Linked DNA regions of Mytilus edulis. The protein of the gene in region 1 interacts with the protein of each later gene in a pairwise test. Links are inferred from orthologs where the notes say so. Each region holds a gene or a part of one and is shown on either strand. Other genes may lie near its edges.

Region 1 (3,761 bases):
CATAAAGGACACAACAACATTCAGAAACATTTAAAAAAAACCATCATATCTTATTAAATATGCTCAAGGAAGCATAAATATGTTGAATTGGGTTTATACCACTGTGATGCTGAACAAAAGAAGGAAAACATTCTTCCTCTTTTGGATTTTTATTAAAAGGAGGAAATCTTCTACATGATTTTAGAATTTATTTTTTTCCAGATTTTTCAATAAATCATAAATATGCCATATCAATTCTATCAAATTTGGATATAATAACTTCAAAAAGGAGCACATGATTTCCTGCAAATTTGAAAGAGATTACCGATTTTATGACAAAATGTATGACGAAAATTAGAACAAACATAAAATTTAATCTGCTTTAAAAAAAAAATCACATTTTCTTTCTGATTTTTTTCTAAAGCAACATAACTTAATAGCATATGGTTTCAAGCAAATTTGTATCAAAGTTCCCTAAAATAAGCATACCATTTCCTTGAAATGTTTATCAGCAAACAGAAAATAATGATCATGATGAAGAGAGGTAAAACAAACCAGAATTTAAAACTGGTCTATGTCAGACCTATCACTTTGTATATACTGAGACACATATTTGTATCCAAGGAAATAAATGTATGATTAAGAAAAAATTAAATCCATTTGTTTCTTACATCTGTTTCTAGAAATTGTTTTTTCCCTTTATAAAAATAAAAATCATGGTCATGATGGCTTTGTCCCAACTGGCAGTGTCACTTTACTGTGTGGCCAAAATGCTCTACATCGATCAAAATTTCTTTACTTGCGTAAGCTATAATTTCAAAGTCATTAAACTAGTTAGTTGGGTATTAAGGATCACTCTTGTTAGATGTCCCTGTCTAGCCAAGTTCTAGGATATAGAACTAACTATATAAATGTGTTAACAAGATGTTTATTTAAAAATTCATATACAGTGGTTGCATTGCTGGTCCACTCTCCTTTGTAACAATTCCTTAAGTGTGAGCCAAAGTCATCTCACTTCAAATTGTACATGTTGTAGCGTTAGACTGCTCTAAAACTGGCAAGTGATGTCATATTTATAGTTCCAATAGACCACCAACCCAGCCAGAATGTCACTGCAATAAAGGGGAAGTAACCTGACAAGAAATTATATGTACATGGCTGGTATTAGGAGAAATACTTAAATAGTTATGAAACTATTAAAATTACTAATAGTAATGAGTTCGTGGTCTAGTGGTTAAGAACCGATGGCTACAGTGCTGAAGGTCCCGAGTTCGATTCTCACTGGGGGTGCTAAAAATATCAGTACATCAGAAGGGTAATTTTCACCCTTTCACACACATCTCTGGTACCCAGACCGGAGTTTAAAACTAGAATGGGTACTTTGGGGGCCTCGGTTGGTCAAAGTTTTCCCCTACTTTGACCTGGAGATCAATCTTCTGATATCTCTCTGGTTTGTCTGTTTCCACCGAGTGGCCCAGTGGTTTTTCTCAGAGTACTTCGGCTTCCTCCACCATAATAACAGACTTCCCAGTGTCCTAACACTCCCTTTGTGTTTGGTTGGGATTGATTGTCCTTGTAAAAATAATGTTCGTATAAATATATATTAGTGACACATCTCCATTAATTCCGATAGGGAGTGTACATGGATGCCTCTGTACCCTCGCAGCTTTCGAGGGGTTCTTCGGATATTTGAGGCATTTACCAGTACATACATACATACATAAAATTGAGAATGGAAATGGGGAATGTGTCAAAGAGACAACAACCCGACCAAATAAAAAACGAATGTAGGACAGAAAGTCACAGGACAAAAAGTCACAGACAAAAAGTCACGGACAAAAAGTCACAGGACAAAAAGTCACAATTCATTTTTTTTTGACTTTTTTTCTTTGAATAAAAAACGCTTATTTCTAAAAAATATTTTTGTATTTCTCTTGAACTATTGTATAAAATCTAACTTTGTAAACAAAATTTATCCAAAAAATATCAAAGTAAATCAAATAATTGTGGTAAGAAAACAAAATGTCAAAGTGGCTCAGCTCTTAAATGGCTTCATAATGCCAAGAAATCTTTCTTTTACATGATTAAAATTAAATAAATCTTCATTTTTCAAGTATAATGACACATTTCCTAAACTTTAATATGTATATATGTATTAAAAAGTAAATATTTCAAGATATTTCTCCTATATATTCAAACAATTGTCAACATATTATTTGTGACTTTTTGTCCTGTGACTTTTTGTCCTACCAAATTTGTGACTTTATGTCCTGTGACTTTTTGTCCTGTGACTTTCTGTCCGTTTACCTAAAAAAAACAACAGCAGAGGGTCACCAACAGGTCTTCAATGTAGCTAGAAATTCCCACATACATATTAACTTTAACCAATTTCCCATATAAATCGAATACAACAAGTAAACAAAGTTAAGAACCAGTGAGGACGAATTGTACTGGCAGAATCGACCTGGGGCCGACCTGGTTGTGGGGACGAAACGACTCGAAAGCATTTTGGTCATATTTTAGTTTTATTTCAACGACACAACGGTGTTGAGTCTTGAGATAAACCGTCTTTTTTCATGTTTTCTTGCATCTGAACGACAATCAACAGAAATTTTAAGACACTATAACAAAACATACTTCAAATAGACACGATCTAAATTGACAGTAACCTTTTGCTGATCGTGTGAAATGCAAAGATTCGAAGTTCGAAGTTCCTTGCTTTCAACGTCGCCGGAAGCAATTTTAACAAATGCCGTAAAAGAACACGTTAAAACGACATTCTTTCATATAACTTATAAATGCAGCATTTGTGTTTCATTTTAAGGATTTTGATTTTCTTATAATTTAATTGCATACCAGATATATAAAAGCAGGATAATGCACAATTACGTCAAAATACCAATTACGACATTAAAGGAAGGTCTGGTACAATTACTGTTTTTCGTAGCTCGCAATACAAATTTTTTACTAAATATACCAAACCAGATTAGGCGTCCATTTTTATCAATTTTGGAAACGTTTTCTACTCCAGCTGAGAATATACTGTTGAAAAAACTGTGACGATGGCGGGGAAAGACGACCGGATAACCACAAAGGTTATCCAGGTCGCTAACATTGCCCAGAACGCATCAAAAGATCAAATGAAGACATTATTTGCATACATCGGGCGAATAGACGATCTTAAAATGTATCCCACCATTGAGTAAGAATAAATAAATATTAACATATGTATCCATTGTAACACAGGTACTTGTTTCTATCATTGGGGGGATAGTGGAAATTACCATGGATAGAAACGAGTGACTGTGTAATTAATAGTTTCAGCTCAACACAATTTGAGCAAGATATACTTCTTCTACTTTTACCATATAGTGACCGCCTTCAACAAATTGAAGATTATGTCACAGGAGGAAACTTACAACAAGACATATATTTCACGTTCTCATTATAAATATAATATAAAGAGGCCCATAACTTGCATAAGCACAAATTTCTTCGTAAATTAGCCAAATTGTATATGTCATACTGACTGCTAGACTTTTTTTGAAAAGTTGTTACATGAATGCAATGTTATTCTGTGTAGGCCAAAACATGAACTCAACTTGAGGCCAAGGGAGAGGGTAATTGATACCAGAGGGACATTCAAACTCATAGGTCAAAAATAAACTGACAACGCCATGGCTAAAAAACAAAAATACAAACACAAATAACAGTACAGAAGACATTACATAGTAAACTAAAGACAAAGCATCACAAACCCCACCATGGGTTATCTCAGGTGC
Region 2 (3,761 bases), on another chromosome or scaffold:
TTAAGAATAATAGTAAATACCCAAAGCCTTTACCTTTAATAATTAGGAGGTAGTCTTTACCCCCATTTACATTTGGTTGTTAAAACGACTTTTTACAGTTTCCAATTTTGATCTACATGTACAAGAACTAGAAGGGCATTAAAGTTGTCATATTTTCTAAACAATACATTTTGAAACAGTTTATGGGCAATGAATTGTTAAATTGAACTTCCTGCTGTTAACAAAGTTCAGTTTGTGAAGTTCTAAAATAGGTATGGAAGGGTCATAAGGTTATACAGGAATAGTTGTTGCAATCACAACTACAGGAGAGTTTTTGGGCAAAAGGGTTAAATGATTTTTGAGGTATTACTTGCATATTTTTTAAAATTACTCTGGCTAAAATGGGAAAATAAATCTTGAATGTTGGGTATAGAGATATAAATGCTTTGAAATATTTAGCTGTATTAGTATCAAATAACCTTCTGATGTCAGGCAACCTCTTTTTAATTATAATGTAAAATATTTAAAATTATGACAATAGACCTGCTACAAATGCATATGTCAATCAAAATAAAAGGAAACATTGTATAATTGGTTCTTACTGTGATACATGAACATTGAGAAATATAAAATAAAGGACAAATGCACCACTTTGAGAGTCGATGTAAATTTTATGACAAGCTATAGTGAGAGCTCACAGTGTGCTTACATTTTTTATTTTAAAAAATTCACAAAAATTGGCCAGCGTTCATGACTGTCATATCATAGCATACATGCACTAAGAAGTATTTTCTGCTGGTTTAACATATGATTTGTCAGATAATGTAATCTTTGTGTAAACTAATGATTTCCTTACCCAACAACAAGTCTTTGGAATTTTTTCGTTGGTGGCTTTATGATTTTTTGCCAGGCGATGACAATTCTTGTTTCTGTTGGATTGACTACTTCTACCACTGTTGGGAACCATTTTGAATATAAAACAGCAAGAAAAATAACCACTAGAGCTACAGATAAAGTTTTGGGAAACATGATGCCAACTCAACATTCACTAACCGGTGCCCAACAACACCCCGCCGGAAAATAGAACACTAAAAGATAATCCGCTGGGAAATCGTATCTTGCCAATATTTAATACCATTTTTCATGAACTTTAAATCTCATTTTACAAGAAAATGACAAAAGAATTAAGATTTATTATAGTTCTAGAAAAATATGGATTGAGTTTTAATCTGAAAGTAGAAAAATTAACAAAAACTATTCACTTCCGGTAAAATTATTCCGCATAATTGTAAACATGACAGACGACGTGCTTAACCTTGAAGTTTGGAAAGGAAACTGGGATTTGCCATCAGTTGACAATGAATGTCTTACAGTTTGGGTAAGCAATTAGTTAATTTCTCCCCCTTCTATTTAACAACTTTGAAATAAGTCGATACACACCCTTGTAGTATTTGTTTATTGAACACAGTGCAGATTTGCAACTTTCTTGAACACATGTGTTTCACTGCGATACGGTTTCACTGACACTATGAAGCTACACTTCACTTAACATAGAAAATGAATTCGCTCTATATTAGCTGGCAAAGCTTCATGACTTCTTTATGTAAGTTTGTAGAGCAGTGGCAAATGTGCATATAAGGCACCAAATGAGGTTTTTAGTAGGATCGCATTTACAATGCATTGTCAACTGGGAATCCGGGTCTGTTCGCGCCCAATCACTTTCGCACCCAATCACTTTCGCACCCATTCACATTCGCCCCCTTTCACTTTCGCACCCCACATATTCGCACCCAAATTTTTAGAAAAAAACACAATCATACATCAGTCATATACACATATACAACAAAACATGAATATTCAAGTAACTATAACACAAGTTAATCAAAGTTTAAAAGTCTACTGTTGCGGAACATCTTCAGTTGGTTAGTCTAAACGCCCATACAGTCTGGAGATCACCTTAATGAAGTGTGTAGTTGACATTGCTATATCCATGTAAGAATCCCACAAGGTCTGTATCTTCTGTTCTAGTACATGTACTGTGTAGCGGCGGTGAACATTTCGCTCTAAGTCGACGGAACGCACACTGACATCAACAACCTCAGCTTCTTTCATCAAGTCGGAGACATTAACATTAACATTTAATAATTAATCATCAAATTAATAAAAAAAGATTCTATTCAATAATTTCTCAAATTTTATTCAAATAGAATACATTTATCATGTTTATTTGTTATATTCATATAAAAAATATCTAATAATTTAACTAAAATTTTAATACAAATTGGGCGTGAACGTGTAGGGTGCGAACGGACTTGGGTGGGGGGGCGAAAATGTGAGGTGTGAACGTGTAGGGTGCGAAAGTGTATTGGGCGCGAACAGACCTGATACCATCAACTGGTACAGTGGTACAAATGTACTAAGTTGTGGGTTCCATGATGTACGTTCCAGACCAAGTCATAATTTACAGCCCCAAATATCTTAGGCAGATGCAGCCCCTATTAGGAATGATAAACATGCAGGTTGCTGTTCATTATACTTAGTATTCATATAATTGTGAATGAGTTTTGATATATATGTATGTAATAAAAATTACCGGTAAATGAATGAATGAATACTTTATTTGCAAGAAGCATATATACATACTATGGCAAATGTAAATATAAATGAATGTATTCTGAGTTTCATTAATTCATCAGTAAATAATGCCTTTCTGTTTATTTGCAGGCATATTGTAAATTTTCTGGTCTTCCAACTAAAGTACAGAAAAGTCACCAGACAAATTTATTTCAGTCATCACTAGGTTTGTATTAAGTTAACAATTATACATAGTATTTGTACAAAGATGATATGAGTTACGATGTAGTTAATGTGACTTTATTGAAATCTGTATATTTTGGATCACAATCAAAGTACATGACATATTTTTTCTGTCTTTTAAAATTACTATGTGTTTTTTTTTGTGTATTTTATGATCGGGTTTGGAAAGAAGATTTTTTTTTCTTCATTATTTTTCTGATTGCATTCTATCAATTTTATGCAAAATCTTTGTAAGCATTTCAGGCTCCTTAATTGTTTGTTATTGTTTCAGAGGAGATATATATCAAGCAAAGGGCAAACCTAAACATGATCTTGACCTCAATTTCAAGATATGTACCAAAAAATATAAAATAAAAAATTCTATGTCTAAATGACAAATGGTTTATGTTATATGGTCCGAGACCACAATTGTCGTCCCTTGTTTTTCGTTGTTCACGAATATAGTCCCTAGTGTTGACAGTGGGTTACTTGCCATTAATTTTTATACCCCTTCCAAATTTTATTTCTCCATATTTATTGCCTCAAATTGCAAGTATGGGGGTGAAATTACACTGTAAAAACATTTGGGTCCAGAATTTTAAAGGAAAGTAGTGATTTGGTCCAGCTGAAAAAGGTTGAAAATTAGCACTTCGGAAGCTGTCAAAAGATTTCAAGACGCCCTAAACATAAAATTGTCCATATTTTGAGTTAGAGCCGATGAAGTTTTCTATAATTTTGATATAATTTGTCCCAAAAGTAGTACAACACACTGTAAAAGTTTCTTTGAGAAAGCGCAGGTGGGATTTTTTTAATTTTCATTTATGTTCTAAAAGAAATGCACTACGAAATAATTGTGTTCTCGGACCATATCAATAATGAACATACCGTATTTAGCGTAGAAGGGGAGATAACAACTGTAAGAAGTCAAATTTGATCAAATTAATGATTTCAACAATAAAAAAAAGTTGTTTATATATTAAAGTTTT
Region 3 (3,761 bases), on another chromosome or scaffold:
CCAATGTCATGGGAATCACTATTCCCGTTTATTTATTTTTGTTACATCTATTTCATCCCCTGCAAACTCGTAAACTTGATTGCTATACGGTGTTGAACTTTTTTGCTCAACATATTTATCCTCCGGTCCAAAATTTCTAGAATGTCATGGGAATCACTATTCCCGAGTTCTCTGATTTTAAAGAATCAAACCGTTAAAGTTGCAATGATGATTTATTTGACATTCTACAAATGGAACATTTGTAATACACTATAATTAAAGCATACAAGTTTACGGGAGTGCATGGTGGTGCGTTAAATAGCTTAAATATGCTTAGCTGGTTACCTTATAAACTAAGTGTTTATATTGTTGCTTCTGTAATAGTTTTCACTGGTGTATCGTCTGCTACCGGGTTCGGAACTGCCGGTCACCGGGATCAGAGTACTTATATTAAACCCTAAAATGTCCCGGCCGGGCCACAGGAAGTGGACCGGCGAATCCCTAATAAAAATGGCTGCGCCCATGGGAAACTATATAAATACAATGAAGATAAATAAATATGCGTAGAATGATATTATATGAATAAAGAAGACATCTAGCGAAAGCGACCACCATTACACAAAGCTATAGTTATTAAACACAAAACCAATTAAAATTAGGTACGAACATGTAGGGTGCGAACGGACCCAGATTCTAGCAAAACAGTCATTTCAGGTCAAAGCAAATTATCTCAGATTGAGGATTGGACAATTCACAAAACAGAAAGGTCCAACCTCATAATATTAAATGTAATTTACATTCGATAATACAACGAAAACAAAATGACAATGTGGGCGAATGGACCCGGTGGGAGAATGAACACGGTTTCAGAATCTTCTTCTTTTGGTATAAAAACTATCAACATTTTGAAGTAACTATAAAACTTATTAAATTAAAACTAAAAAAGTGCAATTTACAGGGATAATGGTTGGACTTGAAAATGGGGATTTGAAAACAATAAATTTTCAACATCTTGTATCATATACCTCGGTTTTCTTCACTCCTAGGCTCATATTTAAGGCAGTCAAAAACTTTAAATAAATGCCAGATTACAGTCAACAAAAACAACGTGCACAGAAAACCGGAACTTCTCGATATTTCATCGTATGGACGCTTTCAAAAATAACCTAAATTAAAACAGACGATCCCGGTTTATTCCACAAGTGAACATTTGTTTTACTCTGTTTTTTTGGATGATTTATAAAGAAATCAAATACAGTAATCACTTCTCAATAAAAGTACAATTGTTACTAGAACGAAGTAAATTAGCACTTTAACAATTTGTTTGCAATAGAGTGGTAATTTTTTATTCTTATTTGTTCGGACCCTACTCTTTAATTTTGTTTCTTCCTTAATTTTTAAACGTTTTGAAGATTATGATTTTTGATATTTTGGAACACTTCGGTTGTTTACCTAATTACTATGGACATCTTTTAGCCACGTCGGATAGAGGTGTTTTAAAAAACATTAAAATTTAGGAATGAACACTCACCAGATGGATCAAAATGCTATCAAGTCCGTCAACTGTACACGATTGGATGCAAGCAATACGTCGACCAACACCTTATAGAGTTGGAAATGCCAAACTTCATTTGAAAACCAGAACCGTTGCATACTTCATGCTGTTTTTTGTTGCCTTTTTAATCTTAATTGTCAACATTTTACCACAAAATAGTTCCAAAGAGAAATGTGACTGTTCAGTAGAATATGATAATAGATATCCTCTATCAAAACCCTACATTACTGACTATGGGTTAACATACAAAATTGCTATGGTCACAGATTTAGATACAGAATCTAAAAGTAAAAAGAAAGCGAATACTTGGCTAAGTTATTTACAGACAGGAAATTTAACATTATCAAGTGACCATAGTAAAGTTACAGTTAAACTGGATAAAATACCAGTAACACTGTCTTCAAGTTTGTCACAGGGTGGTAGAGGAATGGAGTTATCTGAGCTTGTGGTATATAATGGAAATCTTTATTCTGTTGATGATAGAACTGGCATAATTTATTTCATTAAAAACAATGCTGTTTATCCATGGGTTTTACTGGTGGATGGCAATGGAACAAGTCACAAGGGTAATTGATAATTACACTTATATACATTGTATGGACCTGTCTGACCTGTATACATCAGAGGCGGATTTAGGGGGGGGGGCTTTTCTGGGGAAAAGTTGGTTGCTTATATAGGGAATCACTGAATCGTGACCGAAGTGGGCCCACTGACTGCCTAAGAGGGGGCCCGCTTCGAACTTATGAAAAATTCTGGATCTGCCACTGTACATGGTATAAAAAGAACTTATCTTACTAGAAATCAGTGAACAATTTTGTTAGTATGATTTGAATCAGTAAAGACCCTAAGTTAACTAAAGAAAAGCCTCGGTTTAAAAAAAAATCAATTTAAAACTTCCTATGTATCATGGTAATTGAAGAACATCATAAAAATCTGCTACTATAATAAAAATATGAGTCCTGGTCAATACACCTTATTGTAATTTGGAAATCTGTTCTGCTTGACCTGAGAAATTGGACATCAAACAAAAATCACTTTTCCATTGTGGTGATATATATTTTCTATTGTGACGTCAACATTTTACAGGAGCCTTTGCAATGTCCAGTTATGGTGATCAAATAGCAATATAAAGGTGTATCCAAATGTACAATGTCTTTCAAACTGCTTGATTTTTTTACCACCTAACACGTGTACAGCTAAACATCAATGAACACCTTAAGAAAAACACTGTACACACCATAATGTATCTATTTATTTATATGAATGAATGAATGAATATTTTAATATTAAAGTGCAACCTGAATTATAACAAACAATTACATTCATATATACAAGTAATTTTCAGCCAGTCAAATAGGCTTATGATGCACTGTACATTGTGTATCATTATTTAAAAAAATAAAAAATTAACAAATAGATAAATATAGTTCAAATTAACACACAAAATAAATTTATGCACGTTATTAATTGAATTGATCAGATTATCTGATCCTAAAACAATTCAAAATAAAGTAAGAAACAAGCTTGCTGTAATTACAAAATAAATGTTTTAATTTGATGTTCGTTTATGTTTAGAAATGTTACCTGTCTTCCAAATTTGAAAAGAATATACCTACAGAATGATAATTGGATATTAACCAGATTTTGCAAAGTCTCTTGTTAAAGTATTTTTTTAGAGGTACATAAAACCGTAAAAGTGAAAAATGTAATAGTAGACATACATTTATATTGTACTATGCAGAATTATCCATGCATATTTCATATACATTGTACATGTACATGGAAGCTTTCTTGGGCTATATTGAACTGTTTTTACCTGTTAAACAGGGAAGTTACCAATGCACCACCTTGTTTTCTTGAAGTTATAGCAACCCATTACAATGCTGTTAAAAGGCCCTGTGTGATGGTGAGGCCTAAAACAAAATATTGTTTGTTTCCCCAATCCCAACCGACCCTGCAAAAACAGGGCTACTCATGAAATTTTATTGTCAAAACTAAGTCGAAAATTATTTTATTCATTTATGATTTTCAGGCTTGCCACATCGTCTGATATTGTTCAAGCTTTTTGGACAAAAATAAAATTATTTACCTACCTACCTACCCACATCTTGCTTGGCAGGGTCAGGATTGGGGAAACAAACAAAATATTAATTTAGGCCTGAGTAGACACATGTACTTGCAAATATCATGCATGTTCTACAATTAGATAAAAAGAAACATGAACAAA

What was found.
Region 2: the proteins of small glutamine-rich tetratricopeptide repeat-containing protein beta-like (region 1) and metaxin-1-like interact in a two-hybrid assay, tested with the Caenorhabditis elegans proteins (2 studies listed by BioGRID). The link is inferred for Mytilus edulis from reciprocal best matches to the Caenorhabditis elegans genes sgt-1 and mtx-1.
Region 3: the proteins of small glutamine-rich tetratricopeptide repeat-containing protein beta-like (region 1) and soluble calcium-activated nucleotidase 1-like interact in a two-hybrid assay, tested with the Caenorhabditis elegans proteins (2 studies listed by BioGRID). The link is inferred for Mytilus edulis from reciprocal best matches to the Caenorhabditis elegans genes sgt-1 and apy-1.

The regions. Positions count from the first base shown.
Region 1 is NC_092344.1:72,092,232-72,095,992, reverse strand, and holds the start of small glutamine-rich tetratricopeptide repeat-containing protein beta-like, read right to left. Parts: upstream 2,744-3,761; 5' UTR 2,649-2,743; exon of another isoform or gene 2,617-2,648; intron 1-2,616. Other genes in the region: probable splicing factor, arginine/serine-rich 7, read left to right, coding at 3,042-3,181.
Region 2 is NC_092347.1:61,937,244-61,941,004, forward strand, and holds the start of metaxin-1-like, read left to right. Parts: upstream 1-1,228; 5' UTR 1,229-1,273; coding exon 1,274-1,357; intron 1,358-2,703; coding exon 2,704-2,779; intron 2,780-3,761. Other genes in the region: ADP-dependent glucokinase-like, read right to left, coding at 836-1,008.
Region 3 is NC_092352.1:32,466,897-32,470,657, forward strand, and holds the start of soluble calcium-activated nucleotidase 1-like, read left to right. Parts: upstream 1-1,406; 5' UTR 1,407-1,523; coding exon 1,524-2,100; intron 2,101-3,761. Other genes in the region: ribosomal L1 domain-containing protein 1-like, read right to left, coding at 1,005-1,031. UniProt on the Caenorhabditis elegans protein: Hydrolyzes UDP and to a lesser extent GDP. By preventing the accumulation of NDP, may promote the reglucosylation of incompletely folded glycoproteins in the endoplasmic reticulum following the unfolded protein response.